2 linked regions of the Schizosaccharomyces pombe genome follow. The protein of the gene in region 2 interacts with the protein of the main gene of each other region in a biochemical or structural test. Each region holds a gene or a part of one and is shown on either strand. Other genes may lie near its edges. The genes, in order: prp11 and sap145.

Region 1 (5,736 bases), on a different chromosome or scaffold from region 2:
TTTGATGCGAAAATTTTCCAATTTGGATGGAATAATCAACTCTATTTCTATTTCCGTTCACAAATGTGTTAAATAAAAAACAGTAGCATGAGATAGACTCCTTCTTAGGAATTTAGGCGGATCGTGAAGTTAAGAGACTCTCAAGGATGATGAAAGGAAGAATCTGTACAAAACAAAAATCCTATATAAGACAATGAATTTAAAAATGATTACCAACTGATAAAAGTATCCAAGGAGAACCAAATACAAATATTTAACCTAAAGATGAAAGAGTGAATGGAATACAGCAATCAGTAAAAATGAGCAACCAACTATACATACCAACTAGAGGTTAAACTAGTTTCAATATATTGGGTAAAATAAATTACTTAATATACTCTTTAACCATTGCTCAGTTTCGGGCATAGTTCATGCCTTAGCTTAATTCTCCTTAATTAGATACTCTACATTCAATCTTTCCATGTATTCACGTTGGGGTATCCCATCGCTTGTATTTGGACAACCATATTTTTTAAATTTTCTTTCAAAATGTAAGATTTATTTGCTGTCGGTTTCTAACTTCATTACATGCGTATAACCATTGCTCATCCTAAAAACAATTATCCCAGTATTAAGTATATCAAATTATAAAGCAATACCAGAAAAATAATGCCAGCTATTAATACTATCACTGTTAAATCGAGTAAATGGCGAAAAAATACACTTAAAAAAAATAAAAATAAATATACACATAAATAATTTTCTCTTTCATTTGGCATTACTAAAGAATTTTCGTTTTTTGGTTTTCTGCTAAGTCAATATTATTGGTCGAAGAGCGCAAAAACATAAACATTATAGAAAAAGTATAACATTATGTAAATTTCAATTATGCTTTTTTTTTTTTCTTTTTTGGAATGGAAATAATGGCTTTTCTTAATTTATGTACGCTCTAAATTATCTGACTTATTACATTCTATTGTAGATGACTGTTTAACAGACATTTGAAAGAGTACCTTACTAGTAATCAAGAATTGTGGATTCCAAGCCTTAACCCCAATAGTTATTTACATAAAAAAAGAAATATTGTAAATAAAAAGAGCTAACTCGCCTATTCGCCAATCAATAAAATTTTTTATCGTCTTTTATTTCTCGGTTTTCCGATATTATCTTTAGTACAAAAGCAATAAAAATTCAGCAACAATCAAAATGTAAGCGGTGTTGAAAAAATTACTTATATACCAGTGTTGATTATTTTTCCGAGTTTTACTGGTTAAGTTGAAGGTCCAGTGTAGGGAACCATAATTAAATTTTAAATAACTGAAATAAAAAATGAATATTACTTCTAAGATTTATAAATTGCACAGAATTCAGGTTGCTTTACCGACTTAACTGGCAAATTCATTGCTTTTTAATAAACCCCATATGACTTGTATAAATAATCATAAAGAGGTTAACTATAATAATGTAAATTATATCTAGTAGTGAACTAATATCATATGCATAATATATATTGCTATATAAAGTAATTTATGTCGTTTACTTGCCTCATTAAAACTCTTCGTGTACATATCACAACACCCAGTTTTTGATGTCTAGAAGAACACGATCAAGGTCGCCTCCAAGGCGATCCTACAATAGAGAAAGAAGAGATTACCGAAAATATGATGACTCTGAAGATCAAAAGGGTGCACGGTATAACCGATACGTAGACGATGTATCAAGTCGACGAGATAGGCATGATTCTTTTCGTTCTCACGAGTCTAATAAAATTAGAAGAGATAATTCTTGGAAGCATGATAAGTATAGTTACGAAAAAAGGTATCAAGAGCGAGATCGAGAGTATGCGAGATCAAAGAATATTCCCGATCAGTATATTGGTAGGTCACCGCGACCAACATCTCATAGACATGCTGAGGAAAAAGAAGTAGACAATAAAACTAAATCAGATGAAACAAATCCTGTATTACAAGGTTCCGCAACTGAAATAAAGCCTCAGCCTAGACGTTCTCGATTTGATCGAACTGAGAGAGTTGGTGCTTCTTTAAGTGTTTCAGAAATTCAATCTGAAAATCCACGAGTTGATGTAATTCCCAAGGATAAAGCTGTTGAAAATAATCATCAACGAAATGCTGAAAAGCCAGTAGCGTCAGACAAAATTACGGATGCTAAGCTACTCGCCAGGCTAGAACGAGTTAGAGCGTGGAAAGAGTCAAAGGCAAAACAGGAGGCTTCCAAGAAGGAGGAGCACAAGTTGAATACAAAGCCGCAGGTTACAGCCAAAGACCAGAATGCTATGCCTTCAACTGGTATATCCGGGTTTGAGATTAATCGCCAAAAAGATACTTCGGATATGAAGCGAAATAACCGAGTTCACATGGATGATGAAGATGGTCCTAGGCGTATGAATCTTGAAGACTACCAGGAGCTTTGGGACCAAGAAGACCGGGGTATGCTAGGAAATGAGCAAGCAGCTAGCATGGAGGAAGACGAAGTAGATCCTTTAGATGCTTACATGGCCTCTTTGGTTGGTACCACTGATACCATAAGGCCTGGTTTATTAAATACGGAGGTCATTGATCCGAATGCAAACGATGACGAGCGCATGGTAATTTCAGAGACTTTGGAAGAGGAAGAAAATTTACTTGCTCTTGCTGCAAAACGATCAAAAAAGAAAGACGTAATCACAGTTGATCACTCAAAAATAAATTATGAAGATTTCAAAAAGGATTTCTATGTTGAACCTGAAGAGCTCAAAAATCTGTCACCAGCTGAAGTTGATGAACTACGGGCTTCTTTAGATGGTATTAAAATTCGTGGTATTGATTGCCCGAAGCCAGTTACTAGTTGGAGTCAATGTGGTTTATCTGCCCAAACCATAAGCGTGATCAATTCCTTGGGATACGAAAAACCAACCTCTATTCAAGCACAAGCAATTCCAGCGATTACTTCTGGCAGAGATGTAATTGGCGTAGCTAAAACAGGAAGTGGAAAAACCATTGCTTTTCTTCTTCCTATGTTTCGACACATCAAAGATCAGCGCCCATTAAAAACAGGAGAGGGTCCTATTGCAATAATAATGACTCCTACTCGTGAATTGGCTGTGCAAATTTTTCGCGAATGTAAACCTTTCTTAAAGTTATTGAACATTCGTGCGTGTTGTGCATATGGAGGTGCCCCTATTAAAGACCAAATTGCTGATTTAAAACGCGGTGCAGAAATCGTAGTTTGTACTCCTGGACGTATGATTGATGTTTTAAGTGCGAATGCAGGACGTGTTACTAACTTACACCGCTGCACTTATTTGGTTTTGGATGAGGCCGATCGTATGTTTGATTTAGGATTTGAACCGCAAGTCATGAGAATTATTAACAATATTCGACCTGATCGGCAAACCGTACTATTTTCAGCTACCTTTCCTCGTGCTATGGAAGCCCTTGCAAGGAAAGTTTTAAAGAAACCTGTAGAGATTACGGTTGGCGGACGGTCGGTTGTTGCTTCTGAGGTTGAGCAAATCGTTGAAGTACGGCCTGAGGAAAGCAAGTTTTCTCGGCTATTAGAGCTGTTAGGTGAGTTGTACAACAATCAACTTGATGTACGTACACTTGTTTTTGTGGATAGACAAGAGTCTGCGGATGCACTTTTGTCGGACCTTATGAAACGCGGGTATACAAGTAATTCAATTCATGGCGGTAAGGATCAACACGATCGCGACTCAACCATCAGTGATTATAAAGCAGGAGTATTTGATGTATTAATCGCAACTAGTGTAGTTGCTCGTGGGCTTGACGTTAAATCTTTACAGCTGGTGGTAAATTATGATTGCCCTAATCATATGGAGGATTACGTGCATCGTGTTGGTCGTACAGGCCGTGCTGGCCATACTGGTGTAGCTGTTACCTTTATAACCCCAGAACAGGAAAAGTACGCCGTAGACATTGCCAAGGCTTTAAAGATGAGTAAACAACCAGTTCCAAAAGAACTACAAACTCTTGCTTCCCAATTCCTCGAGAAAGTTAAGGCTGGTAAAGAGAAAGCAGCGGGTGGAGGTTTTGGCGGCAAAGGGTTATCACGACTGGATGAAACTCGAAATGCTGAGCGTAAAATGCAGCGTAAGGCCTATGGTGAGGACGAGGAAGATGTAGAGACTGAAGCTGAAGCAAAAAGCCCGTTGGAAAAGATTACTCCTGAAAAATCTACCGGTGATCCCACGCTCGATAGAGTTCGTGCTGCTGTGGGTGGAATTGCTGCTCGTGCATTTGCCAACCAAACTGCACAATCTAACAAGCTTACTCAGCCAATTTCTATAATAAAAACCGATGGTGATGAGTATAAAGCTAAAATGGAAATTAATGACTATCCTCAACAAGCTCGTTGGGCCGTTACTAATAACACAAATATTGTACATGTAACGGAGTTAACTGGCACAAGTATCACTACTAAGGGTAATTTCTACTTGCCAGGTAAAAACCCTGAACCAGGAGAGGAAAAGTTGTACTTGTGGATTGAAGGTCCATCTGAGCTTGTTGTTAACCGAGCCATCACTGAATTGAGACGGCTTCTTCTTGAAGGAATTAACCACAGTTTGGAAGGAGGTAACAAACCAAGTGCTTCTGGACGATACACAGTTGTCTAGTACTTTCGGTCTATCCTTTTGAAAAAGAGACCTACACTCGTTTAAAATTAATCAATTGAATACGTTACGTGCTTTTTTGGGGAAGGGCAAAAGTGGTTATGAAAAATTAATGATTAGAAATGTCAATATTTATTATTTTAACTAAACATATATGGATTTTGGCATGAAAATTAAGGCATGTATCTTTTTTCATCGCAAAGTAAAAGCGGGAAAGAATGATTTTATTCACATTTTTAAAGCGAGTACTTTTCCAACTGCTTTCCTGAAATAGTGTTAGGGTATTTGCTTTTTGTAATCCACAGTATTTATAGTAAACAATAAACTAATGGTTGAATTTAATCTTTTGTGAAGAGAAGAAATAAAATGTAATTTTTGGCCTTCAATTATCAGTGCTAAACACAAATAGTAGGCAATCAATCCCATAGTTGTTTATTTGAGAAAAAGGTTCTGTCAGTGAATGCTTGATTTCATGATTGATGGGTTTAAAAGAAGTTAAAATTATAAAAATCAGAATTTTTTAGCGTAGAAGTAAAAACCTTCAATTATTTAATTTTTCTCCGACTATTTGCATAAGACCTAAACAAACTAACTGTATGCGAACTATATTGTACTAACACTGCATCAAGTTATATAATTACAATTTCGATGTACATTGTATTAAATGAATGCAAAAATTTATTTTTTTTACTATTTTCTTTTTTATTATAAAGGGCATTAAAGTAAACGTAGATTGTCTACGGCCATACCTAGGCGAAAACACCAGTTCCCGTCCGATCACTGCAGTTAAGCGTCTGAGGGCCTCGTTAGTACTATGGTTGGAGACAACATGGGAATCCGGGGTGCTGTAGGCTCCTTCTTTTCTTTCTTTTTTGCCTTTTTAATCCTGTTTTTACATTTGTTAATTATTTAATAGGTGCGCTGACCTAAACACAACTGCGTCTCATATGCGGCAAAGTGCAATGTCTTATTTTCATGAATTATATACACTACTTATTTTAGCGAGATATTAAACAAAACTTGAGTAGCTCATAGAAAGTTAGCTAAGATTACCTTTTATCTTTTTTTTGAAGTTATTTGTTCTAGCTATAGTTCATTAACTACAGGCAAAAATTTACCTCTTTTCT
Region 2 (4,356 bases):
GTACTCAGAAAAGAAGATAAAGAATTTGATCGTTTACGTAGAGTACTATGAGCATCGCGATCCCTTGATGATAGCATCTTAAAGAAATCCTGCTCCGATTTCTTCCTATTGCCAACATATGGGAGATCCAAAGCAGCATTATCTAAGGTTTTACTCCTCGTCTGAGCAACTGCGTTTTCTGAGCAATCGGGCAGGCAAAATGGACTTACTGCTCTGTTGGAGTCTCCTAAGTTGACCGATTCAGGCGACGTTACCATTTCACAATTCATTATGATATCTATTTAAGGATTTACACCGCCATTGGCTTTTTGATCATTATGTTGATATTTAAAAGTTCTTCGGTTTTTCGGTTTTCATTCAGCAACAATACGCCGTGTATGTGTCAATAAAGATAAGTGGATAGCACTCAAAATTGCATATGAGCATAGATTCAATCCACCACTTTAAATCAAGTAAGCCTGATATTATTATAGGGACAAAAATTAGTTGTTTTCGGAACTTTTACCTCTTATATCGTAGGAGCTTACATCCGAGACTTTTGTTAACGTTAGTGGCAAGCGCGCTTTGGTTTAATACGCAATTATGAATAAGAACGTGTTCAATCACAGAAAATCGATTATCGGAAACGCTGTGACTATCACTAAGATGAATTGCAAACAATCGAGTTCGAGAAAACCGTTGGGCTTTATTCAATTGATCTGCGTTTTTGTTCACTCATTAAAAGCCATTTCTCTGAGTATTACTATGAATGGTTTTTTTCTGTTTTATTTTACACTAAAGTGATGATAGAAAAATTAATTTATCAATTAGTAACTAAATATTCGATTGCTCATAAGGAACTCACTGTTCATGTTAACGAATGAAGTTTAATATCGTCGGAAATTAATAGCCTCTCAAACATTTATTTCTTATACTGGTTTATTTTGTTCCCGATTAAAAGTAATGTAGATAATTTTCTCGGAACGTTTCTAAGTTATAATGTGTTCAGTCAACATAGTCTAATGGCCTAGTTTAAACTCTCATCCAAATAATTCTGATAGAGCAAGAACTTGGTGCAATTAAACTAGTGCATATCGACAGTCATTTTTATTTTATCAAACCCTAATACTTACCATTTCAGTAACTTAGAAGGTAACCTCAAAGCATCAACACCTTGAGAATCGTTTGAAGCAGTACTTAGTTTATTGAAAAAATTTGGCAAGGTTAACTCCTAAAGGCGACTTCACAACCATTTATAGAGAAGAACGAAAAATTCCAGATTGCAAATAAGGTGTTCATAGTATTTGCAGGCTTGAAACAACATAAAATCGATTTGGTCTTTAATGGAAACAATCAGAACCTTATTTACAACATAGGAATGAAGAATTACAGTAGCTTAATAATATGTTAATGTTTTAAGAAGTTGTTGTGTATTGCTGGAATTCATGGAAATAGTGTTACTATCGCATTTTATTATTGCAATATATTGTTACACGTTAACTCAACTATTTTCTATTAATTACAGTAAGAATAAGGACCCGTTCATCATGACTATTGCTAGTATTTTTTTTTACAAAAAATCTTCAGTAAGGAGGATACTCGTTTTTTGGGTGGTAGTGTTTTGTTAATACGCTCCATGCATGTACTTGTTGACACGTCCAAAGCATTGTTGCTTAGATTTTTTGTTAATGGCTGAAATACAGACAGCTCAAAATCCTTTAAAGGAACTGGAGAAAATTTTAGAGAGGAATAATAAGCAAAAAAATAAAAAGAGCAGAAACCAAGTTCGTCGAGAGAAAAAAAAATTACTACGTGAAAAGACAAATTCTGGTGCTAAATTGGCAGAAAAAAATAGTGATGACAAGGACCAGTTGACTGAAAATAATGACAACCTATACAATGATAAAAAATCTAATGGAAACTTCTATGATACAAACAAAACTGATAGTGTTGACGGGATGGTCTATACTACAATCGTCGATTCTGTAGAATTAGATCCTAATGATCCGCTAATAGAGCAATTTAAAGATGTCTTTAATCGTTTCAAAGCTGATGGTCAAGAAAAAGATTTCGAAGATACCGACAAGGGCCAAATAATGTATTCTGACGATGAAATTTTGAGTGAAGGCGAAGAAGACGCTTTACAAAAACAACAGGAGGAAAAACTTAGTAAAAAGAAATTGAGAAAGTTAAAAAGGATGACTGTTGCTCAACTGAAGATGCTCTCCGAGAAAGCAGATGTCGTCGAATGGTGGGATGTTTCGTCGCTTGATCCTTTATTCCTCACACATCTAAAAGCATATCCTAATACTGTTCCTGTTCCCCGTCATTGGAACCAAAAAAGAGATTACTTGAGTGGCCAAAGAGGTATAGAACGTCAACTCTTCGAGTTACCCTCGTATATTCGTGCTACTGGCATAGTTCAAATGCGTAATGCTGTGCATGAAAATGAAGCTGATATGCCTTTGCGTCAAAAAATGCGTGAGCGTGTCCAACCAAAAATGGGAAAGCTTGACATTGATTATCAAAAGCTTCATGATGCCTTCTTTCGCTACCAAACAAAACCGGTGCTAACCGGTTTTGGCGAATGCTATTTTGAAGGAAAAGAATTAGAAGCTGATGTGAAAGAAAAGAGGCCCGGCGACATTTCGGAGGAGCTCCGTGAAGCCTTGGGAATTGCTCCAGGAGCACCTCCTCCTTGGTTATTTGCTATGCAGAGATACGGGCCTCCTCCAAGTTATCCAGATCTTAAAATTCCCGGTGTGAATTGTCCAATTCCGACTGGAGCGCAGTGGGGATTTCATCCTGGTGGTTGGGGAAAACCTCCTGTGGACCAATTTAATCGTCCTCTTTATGGCGACGTGTTTGGTAATGTCAAACCTCGAATACATGCTGGTACAGGTTCGCCTGTGAGCACTCAGCATTGGGGTGAATTGGAGGAGTTTGAGGAAGAAGAATCTAGTGAAGAGGAAGAGAGCGAAGACGTAGAATATCCTACTGAAGAAATTACTGAACGTGAAACGATTGAGGAATATCAGTCAGCGTCAGAGCCTAGGTCACAGAGGGAAGATTTGCATGCAGAGCCCTTAACGTATTTTAATCAATCTAATGTAGAGGTTGACAATGTTGAATTACGAAAAAATACTCAACCAAGTAGTGATGCTGCTAATCGAGACTTATATCAAGTTTTACCTGAAAAATCTACTAATATCTCAGGTTTCATGGGTCCTCAGCATCAATACGACATTCCTACCGCTGAAGATACTCTTCCACAAAAAAGGAATGCACATTCCATGCTCTCATCAACCAACAAAGGAGATGTTGCGTTAAATCAAAGTTCTAATTGGCAAGATGAGCTTTCGGAGTTGGTGTCTGAGCAGGCTATGAAGGTTGGTGCTGCGAAACGACAGAAAACACAAAGCAAGAGAGACAAGTTTCGTCTTTAAATTATTATCTACAGTGTACATTAGTTAATCTATATGACAGTATTATTGTTAAGCTCCATACATTATTCAAGTATTAATTATTATTTGTAAGTGAAAATAAAAAAAACCCCAATTTATACCCTAGCTAAAATATATTTTATATACTGTTTTTTTGAAGATGGAAGTCTTTGTGACTATATTTTTCCTTGATCTTTGCACGATACTTTGATTTCTTCAATACTGGCAAAGATGGAGGAACCATTGCTCTTTGTTGTAAACTTAAATAGCGATCGGCAAACAAATTTCCTTCAGGCTTCAGCTCTCTAAGGGAACTAGTCAGCTCATCTCCCAACTTTATTTCAAGTGGGTTGTTAGGCAATCGATGTTTACCGAATTTTTTCTTCTTCAGTTTGATTTCAGTTGTGCTAGAAGAAACAGCCTTATTAGAGAATTTCTCAGCTTTATCCTTTTGCTGCAGTTTTTTGGATATTGCAGGAGCTTTGTCGATCGTCCTCAGAAGCTCTTCATTTTTCTTTTGCTCAAGTAATCTAAGCTCCTCCTCTCTTCTTTGGCGTATCTTATTTCTTTGAGACCTGGTTTTTCGTTTGTTCTTCGAAGAAGGGATCGGAGTTTCTGCTTGTTCGTGTTCAGACTGGTCATCAGAATCAATGCTGTGATTAACGTCTTGGTCTGAAACTAATCCCTTGTCTTCAAAAGCTTTCTTCTGTATTCTTTCCTTTTCCTCTAATTCACTAATTCTTTTCTGTTCTTTCTTAAGTTCCTCTGAACCTTTGGTATCAAGTAGCTTCATCCAAGCTGCAGCGTCAGGATTGTATGACATTCCTGGATCAGCGATAACAACATTTGGGACTTTTGCATTATTCTCAGTTAAAGATTCGGGTAGTTTAGATAATGTAGAAGGTCTTTTAACAGGTATAGTAACTGTTGGGTT

The links.
Region 1: the proteins of sap145 (region 2) and prp11 form a complex in vitro, tested with the Schizosaccharomyces pombe proteins (one study listed by BioGRID).

Annotation. Positions count from the first base shown.
Region 1 is NC_003421.2:517,973-523,708, forward strand, and holds prp11 (ATP-dependent RNA helicase Prp11), read left to right. Parts: upstream 1-1,539; 5' UTR 1,540-1,567; coding exon 1,568-4,612; 3' UTR 4,613-4,925; downstream 4,926-5,736. UniProt on the Schizosaccharomyces pombe protein: ATP-dependent RNA helicase involved in pre-spliceosome/complex A assembly and mRNA splicing. Bridges U1 and U2 snRNPs during pre-spliceosome assembly and enables stable U2 snRNP association with intron RNA.
Region 2 is NC_003424.3:4,803,699-4,808,054, reverse strand, and holds sap145 (putative U2 snRNP-associated protein Sap145), read left to right. Parts: upstream 1-1,635; 5' UTR 1,636-1,667; coding exon 1,668-3,425; 3' UTR 3,426-3,542; downstream 3,543-4,356. Other genes in the region: phosphoinositide phospholipase C Plc1, read right to left, coding at 1-269; rRNA processing protein Rrp16, read right to left, coding at 3,562-4,356. UniProt on the Schizosaccharomyces pombe protein: Involved in pre-mRNA splicing. May be involved in endoplasmic reticulum-associated protein degradation (ERAD) and required for growth at low and high temperatures.